Linked DNA regions of Cricetulus griseus. The main gene of each other region encodes a partner of the protein of the gene in region 2 in a complex. Links are inferred from orthologs where the notes say so. Each region holds a gene or a part of one and is shown on either strand. Other genes may lie near its edges.

What was found.
Region 1: Bdp1 (region 2) and Brf2 share a complex: the UniProt entries of both Homo sapiens proteins name them as parts of the TFIIIB complex. The link is inferred for Cricetulus griseus from reciprocal best matches to the Homo sapiens genes BDP1 and BRF2.

Annotation. Positions count from the first base shown.
Region 1 is NW_023276807.1:56,707,650-56,711,702, reverse strand, and holds the start of Brf2 (transcription factor IIIB 50 kDa subunit), read right to left. Parts: upstream 2,810-4,053; 5' UTR 2,702-2,809; coding exon 2,548-2,701; intron 1,529-2,547; coding exon 1,469-1,528; intron 280-1,468; coding exon 1-279. UniProt on the Homo sapiens protein: General activator of RNA polymerase III transcription. Factor exclusively required for RNA polymerase III transcription of genes with promoter elements upstream of the initiation sites.
Region 2 is NC_048595.1:318,849,100-318,853,352, forward strand, and holds the start of Bdp1 (transcription factor TFIIIB component B'' homolog), read right to left. Parts: upstream 2,803-4,253; 5' UTR 2,605-2,802; coding exon 2,393-2,604; intron 1-2,392. Other genes in the region: Serf1a (small EDRK-rich factor 1), read left to right, coding at 3,373-3,477. UniProt on the Homo sapiens protein: General activator of RNA polymerase III transcription. Requires for transcription from all three types of polymerase III promoters. Requires for transcription of genes with internal promoter elements and with promoter elements upstream of the initiation site.

The DNA of each region.
Region 1 (4,053 bases), on a different chromosome or scaffold from region 2:
GCACATCCAGCCCCAGAAGCTTCACTAGCTGCATGTAGGTGCCTGAAAACACATCCAGATCGGCATACAACAGGGTGCAGATGGTTCCCATGGTCAGGGGCCAGTTGTGCTGCCGGCAGGTGATTAGAACACAGCATCCAACTAACACCTCCTTCTTCTGTAGCCTAGCATCTCGGATGCCAGGCAGCTGATAGGCCCTTTGATAGTAGGAGATTGCTGTATCCTCGAACGTGGGGGGCAACTTCAGAATTCGACACAGGTCTCTCACTCGACGGAGATCTAGGGAAACACATCACAAGCAGAGAGGTCAAAGGAAGTTATGTATACCTACTAGCAAGTTCGTCTAGGGCTTAGTTTAGTTCTGTTAAACTTGCCATATATAGCATATGTGCAAATAATATGCCCTTCTGTCCTAATGGGACACTTGATGTGTTTTGTAGTGCTGCAGCTAGACCCCAGATCCTCAAGCATGCTGGGCAAACTCTTTATCGATGAGTTGTAGTCTTAGCCCCTTAGAACTGTAGTCCTTCCAAAGGTACAGAAAATTTGTGGGAAGGTCACATTCAATCCACTACCTTTATATGAGCTATTGCAACTTATAGCCAGGGCAAAGTTTATTTATTTTTTGGTACGAGGGATTGAACCCGAAGCCTTACACATGATAGGTGCATACTCTGTCACTAACCTACCCCCTAGCTCCAAAACCAAGCTTTTACTCAGGTTTCTTGAGGCTACTTTAAGCCCCGTGCAGACCCAAACCTTCACCTACCTCTATTCCTTTTGGTTTTAAGACACACACACTGTGAAAACTGGGTTGACCTCAAAGTCTATCATCCTGCTTCACCTCCTGAGTTCTGGGACTGTAGGCATGCACCCCATCAGTAACTGTTTTCTTCTAGCCTATATCTTTTATTGGTGATGCTGACAACAAGGACACACACAGATAGACTAGGATATCAAGACAATTTTCTTTAAAGCCACTGTATCATAAAAAGTTGATTCTCGGAGCTGGAGAGATGGCTCAGAGGTTAAGAGCACTGACTGCTCTTCCCGAGGTCCTGAGTTCAATTCCCAGCAACCACATGGTGGCTCACAACCATCCGTTATGAGATCTGGTGCCCTCTTCTGGTGTGCAGATATACATGGAAGCAGAATGTTGTATACATAATAAATAAATAAAATCTTTAAAAAAAAAAAAGTTGATTCTCTGGGCTGGAGGGATGGCTCAGCAGTTAAAAGCTCTTGCTGCTCTAGCAGGGGACCTGAGGTTCAGTTCCCAGCACCCAATGGCAGCTCACAACCACCTATAACTCCAGTTCCACTGGTGCACATACATACATACATACATACATACATACATACATACATGCATGCAATTCCAACACGCATACAAATATTAAAACAAAACATTAAAGAGTCACATAAATAAAGCAAAGCTGAAATTTCAGGGCAAGAGGTTGATTCTCACCTCGTTGCTGGCTGCGACTAACTTGTTCATTTTCCCCGGTGCTTCGAGAATAGGTCACTTCTGTAAAATAATAAACAACAAATAGCACATTTAGCCTCTGTTCATTAATCATCTCCTTGCCCCCTGACCACATAAGACCAGGGAGATTGCAAATTATTGTTTGTCTACTTCCCATCTCAGAGAAGATACCCATCCATGCAAAAGTAAAGGTTCACCAGGCCTTTTTTTTTTTTTTTTTTAAGACAGGGTTTCTATGTGGCTTTGGAGGCTGTCCTAGAACTCACTCTGTAGACCAGGCTGTCCTCGAACTCAGAGATCCACCTGCCTCAGCGTCCCGAGTGCTGGGATTAAAGGCGTGCGCCACCAACGCCCAGCCTCACCAGGCTTTTTAAGTAGTCAAATGGCACTGAAGACAGATAGTATAGAACTATATGAAGCAGCGCTGGTGATTCCACTTTTCCAGTTAGTTCTCTGTTACATTCCATTTTGAGGGCTGCACTAGTCAAGGACTAGCACAGAGATTCTCAATCTTCTAATGCTGTAAAACCCCCCCCAGCCATAAAAATTAGTTCCGCTGCTACCTCATAACTGTAATTTTGCTAGTGTTATGAATTAGAATGTAAATAGCTGATATGCAGGATAGTCTTAGGCGACTCTGGCGAAAGGGTTACTCGATCTCCCAAAAGGGCCAAAGAGAACCGGTGGACTAAACAACAGAGTGGAAGGAGGGGAGGAGCATTTTGCCAATTAATGCTAAAAACTACTATGGGATAATGGTTCGTGCTGTATTCCCAAATAATTTAGCGACAAGCCTTCGACACTGACCAGGTCTAACGCGATGGGTGAAACCTTTTCCGTTTCATTCATTCACCATTCAGTATACCCACTAAATGCCAGACACCATATGAGGTATTGGAGAAAATAGATGACTAGCACCCTCCTCCAGCTAATTTACTTTAAACGAGCTTCTCCCACATTTAACTGTGCGCATGACCAAGAAAAGGGGGGAGCTAGGAATCTGGGTTTAAGCATCCCACCGCCCCAGGCTATCCCCAGGGCCCGAGGACAGGTCCCAGTACCTCTGAGGTTGCCCTCGTCGTTGAAGGTGGTAGTAAGGACCCCTTCTGTGACCACACAGCCGCAGTCGGAGCACACCAGCTGGCTCTGAGAATAATGCGAATCTTCTACGAGCTCAGAGGAGCCGCAGTCCGGGCAGCGGCTTCCGCTCGGCATCTCACCATTTGTCAGTGCTGCAGTACCATCGGGACAACCCCTACTACGAGCGTATAGCAACTGTCCGGCGGCAGTGAAGTGGAGGGGACCTTATTCTGGCTGCACCTTTCTCTTCCGGTCGACTGGACAACGGGCTACTGGTTTGCTCCGCCCCGTAGCCGCTTTCTGCTTCCGATCTCGTCTATGGACTCGGGTGGAAACATGAGCTAGAAAGAAAGGTTCCTGGGCTTAATTGTGTAGCAGGTTCTTTGGTGTCTTGAAATTGGGATACGTTGGGAATTGACACATGGCAGAGATAAGGAATTGTTGTCTACGGAACACTATTTAAAATTATTTATGTATTATTTGTTTATTTATTATGTATACAGTGTTCTGTCTGCATGTATCCCTGCAGACAAGGAAGGGGCACCGGATCTCATTACAAATGGTTGTGAGCCATCATGTGGTTGCTGGGATTGAACTCAGGATCTCTGTAAGTCCAGCTAGTGTTCTTAAGCTCTGTGCCATCTCTCCAGCCCCCCAAAACACTGTTTTTTAAATATCATATAATATATTATTTGTTTTAAGACTGTCTTGCTTATGTAGGCCAGGCTGACCTAGAATACTAGGACTTCTGCCTGATTCCCCCAACCACCCCATTATTGTGTGTTTTTCGAGACAGGGTTTGTCTGTGTAGCTTTGGAGCCTGTCCTGGAACTCAGTAGACCAGGATGGTCTTGAACTCACAGAGATCCTGCCTCCCAAAGGTTGCGATTAAAGGCCTGCGCTGCCACCAACACCGGGCCAACCTGATTCCTTTTTGAAAGTCAAATGGAATCAGTTTGTCCCTTCCTCTATAGTAAGGAATGTTAAATTTGACCATAGTAGAAAACACATTACTCTGCACCGAGGAAGCAATAATTGTGCTCTGTTTTAAGGAACTGCCTCCCCAAATGACTTGCTTTCCCTCACTCAAAGTCTATTTTGTTTTTGTTTGTTTTCAACTATAAAATAAGGGAATCGAACCTGACAGGATGGTACACACCTATAATCCTTGGGAGATGGAAGCAAGAGGATCAGAAATTCAAGGTCATTTTCTTCTATATAACTAGTTGGAGGCCAGATGGGGCTACATCAGATCTTGTCACAAATAAATCAAAATAACTGGGTATGATGGCATACTCCTTTAATCCTACCCTTTGAGAGACAAAGAGTTTGAGGCCAGCTTGGTCTACTTGTCAGTTCAGGCCCAGCCAGAGCAACACAGTGAGAACCTGTCTCTAACTAACCAACTAACTAACTAACTAACTAACTAAATAAATAAATAAAACTGTTGAATTAACATCTTGAGTGGTAGACTTAGCTGTCTTCAG
Region 2 (4,253 bases):
GATAGATAGATAGATAGATAGATAGATAGATAGATAGATAGAAAGAATAGATAAATGATAAATTTTAAAGGGGGATATAAATCAAGGCTATAAAAATCTTTTATCATATTTTATCATTAGTTCTATATAAAATTAAAGCTACCTTGGAATAGTCTCTCAAAAAGACTTTTAATTTAAACTCTTTTTTAAGGCTGAAGATAGATAAAACTTAATGGTAGATTGCTTGTCTAATATGCACAAAGCTCTGGGGTTCAGTCTCTAGCACTCTCTATCTAAAAACTATAGCCCTTAAAACAATATAACATATCAGTCACCAGCACTTTATATGTTAAATGCATACTCTGTTGGTTTCTACAACTAGAAAAAAAAACAACAACAACAAATAAAAATGAAAACAAAATGGTCTCATCAAATAAGAAAAATGGACTTGGGATGCAGCTAAGCTGGTAGAGTGCTTGGTCATCCTGAAGAGTCCTGGCTTCCATCCCCAGCACCACATAAGCCAGGGCACAGTTGCACACATCTGTCATCTCAGCAGGTAAAGCAGGAGGATTAGAAGTTTAAGGGCATCTTCTCATGAACAATAAGTTCTAGGCCAACCTGAGCTACAAGAAAGGAAGGAAGGAAGGAAGGAGGGAGGAAGGGAGGGAGGGAGGAGGCAGGGAGGGAGGAGGCAGGGACTGACAGAAGGAGGAAGAGAGGAAGGAAGGAAGGAAGGAAGGAAGGAAGGAAGGAAGGAAGGAAGGAAGGAAGGAAGGAAAGAAGTTGCTAGGCATGGTGGCACATGCTTTTAATCCCATCATTCAGGAGGCAGAAGCAGTTGGATTTCTTTGTTCCAGGCAAGTCAAAGCTACATAGTAAAATCCTGTCTATAAATAAATAAATAAATAAATAAATAAATAAATAAACAAAACAAACAAGCAAAACACAAGTGCGAGTGTGTGTGTGTGTGTCTCTGTGTGTGTGTGTGTGTGTGTGTGTGTGTGTGTGTGTGTGTGTGTGTGTGTGTGTGTGTAAATAATCTAGATGTCTCAGGACTGTGGCTTAAGGGCAATTTACAAAATATCAATCATAATGCATTCCTACATAGTTAACAAAAATCTCCAAACTCAGCCAGGCATTAGTGGCGTACGCCTTTAATCCCAGCACTCAGGAGGCAGAGACAGGAGGATCTCTGTGAGTTTGAGGCCAGCCTGGTCTCCAGAGTGAGTGCCAGGATTGGCTCCAAAGCTATACAGAGAAACCCTGTCTCGAAAAACCAAAAAAAAAAAATCTCCAAACCCTTTTGATAAGTGACCAATACTGGTATTTTCATTCTAAGTAGAAATTTCCAGACAAATTCAAGTAAGAGACTTGGAAATTATAGTGAATCATTGAAATATCAAAATAACACATAGCACCAACTCAGATCAACAGAAGAAATGTTGCTATGAAAACATAATTTGTACCATCTCCCTGTCACTCAATGTGATTAGTAGTTTATTGGCTTCTTCCTCTGTGTATTATAAAAACTGCAATCATCATATTAACCTGTCACATCTTTAATTTGTACCATCACCTTTCTTTGTTTATTTGGTTTTTCTGACACCATCTCACTACATAGCCCTGACTATTCTAGAACTCACTATGTAGACCAGTCTGGCCTAGAACTCACAGAGATCCATCTGCCTCTGCCTCTCGATTACTGCTAGGACTAAATGCATGTGACACTACATCTGGCAAAACATTTTATACAATCACATCTGATCTTACAATACTGCCCCAAAGGAAGTACTATTAACTACATCTAGCAGGAGTAAATATTCTCTGAGGACAACCTACTTTAAGTTGTTACAGCAGTAGTCCTAAATTCAAACGTGGTATTTGAAGCTAAAGTGAGGCGTCGTAATTCACGGAACATAGTAACTAAAAAGCAGGGCACACTCATAACAAAATAAGCAACCTGAGTCTCTTCCCCTTTTGACAAACGCTGCAAGTGTGGCTCAGTGGCGGGGCGTTTGCCTAACACGCGTGAGGTGCTGGGTTCCTGGGTTCAATCGGATTACCGCGTGGAAGGAGGGGGGAAAATTCAACAACACTGGTGCTCTCCTTTTAAAATAAATATTCACAAATGAAAACCCCGTGTGAAGTACTCCAGGAGAATTACTTAAATTTCGAAGTGCCAGTGTGCCTATTCTTGACTTCAGAATTGTGAAACCAGGGTTCCCATCCATGTAAAACACGGTCTCCTCGAGAACAGTGACAGAATCAGTAGTCGCTTCCTCTGATCGGGGAATTAAACTGCAGCTAGGAGTGGTTTCATCCAGCTCAAACCTAAGGCTTGCTGGAGGCGAGGTACTCCGTGATATAAATTCCAACAGTTCGACATCATGCTCGTTCTACAAGACCTTACCTGCTCCCAGGCGCCTTTTCCTGGGGCTCCGCTCCTCCGGAATCCACCGCAGGCACATCTGTAGGCTCCGCTGGCTTCGGAGCGGGCTCGGTGGCAGGCTCGGGAGGCCTGGGAGCCTCCGGTCCACGCTGGGGATTGGGAGCGGCGGAGCCCCTGGCGCCTCCACCAGGCCTGACATTCGGCTTCACGCTAAGGCGTGCCCTGCGGAACATGGCGGAGCCAGGGGACCGGCAGCGGCGGCTCCACGGCCGCGCTCAGCCCAGAGCCCCGGCCGCTGCCCGAAGGCTGGGACCCTCGCCCTGCCACAATCACCAGCCAAGCGCTGGCTACCGCAAGTTCGCGGCCCCTCCGCCTCCTCCGCTCTCCCGCCACCGCCTCCTCTTCATGACCCTGCCACACTAATAGCTAAGTTTCTCCTCCCCGCGTCCCGGCTCGCAAAAAGGCGCCGGAAACCATGACGTAATCACACGGCGCCACTGACTGGCGTCACACTGCGGGCGCCGGGAACTATAGCAACTGCCACGCTCCGTAGCATCGGTTGTCTGTGAAGCCGATTTTTTGACTCGAAGACAGATATTCTTTCTTCTGTAAGATCTCGGGTGTTGTTGCAAAGAGAGTGCGGAAACAACTCGATCCTCCGGCTCAAACTTGTAAAACGTCCCCCACCCCCATGCGCGGTGCTGGAATTTGAACCCAGGACCCATAGTATACTCCAGCATGCATGGTACCAGGGAACTTCACCCACAGCCCACTTAACTGAATTTTTATCGACTCTTTTATTTGTTTTGTTTTTTTTTCTTTTTTTTGGTTTTTCGAGATAGGGCTTCTCTGTGTAGCTTTGTAGACCAACCAGGCTGGCCTTGAACTCACAGAGATCCGCCTGCCTCTGCCTCCCAAGTGCTGAGAATAAAGGTGTGTGCCACCACCTCCTGGCTTTTATGAAATATTAAGGAGTTCTCGAGAAATCAAATTGTGCAAGAATGCAGAGCCTGATGGTGCATGCCTACTATCCCAGCACTAGGATTGCACTGGAGAGACCTTTCCCTCGAGCAGAGCTAAGCTGCTACGCTTATATTGACTTTGTGGTATGATAGTCCTTGACTCCCGACTGTCAGGATCCCTTTGTATCCAAGCTCCAACGCTTACAGGAAAGTCAGTTCTATCCAGGCCAATTTCCTGGCCAACTAGACTATCTAGCAAGACATTATCTCAAAGACAATAAAATAAAATAAAAATAAAAATGAAATAGTATGAGAGCAGTGCCAGCAACGTATCACCAGAGCATAGAAACTGTTTTACGTTTTTGAGACAGGGTCTCTTATAGCCAAGACTTACCTTCAGTTCTTGGTCCTCCTGCCTCCACATGCTGAGTGCTGAGATTACAGTCACGCATGTGCTACCAAACCCTACTAGAAAGAAAAAAGTTTGAGTTTGGAGGGGGTATGTTATGTGTGGCTGCCCAGGGAAGCCAGAGTTACAGGTGTTTCTCAGACTCCTGATGTAGCTGCTGGGAACCCAAAAGGGCCCACTAGAAGAGCAGGAAATGAGTTTAACCATTGAGCCATCTCTGCGGAGAAATTTTAAATTAAGTAAAACAATGTAAAATTCTTACTTGAAAAATTGCACATGGCTGCCTATTGAAAGAGAAGCTATGAAACACTTCATAGGAAGACATTCACTATATATGCTTTTGTATACTATAATGTGGACATATTGCCTATCAAAATTATTGTATTATATAAATTTTGCCCATTAGTGTATTTTTTCTTTGATTTTTTTATTTTTTCTTAATGTGAGTATTCTTAATCTGCTTCCAGAGATAGCATCAGAACAATAAAGATATTCTGTGTTACAGAGGAGG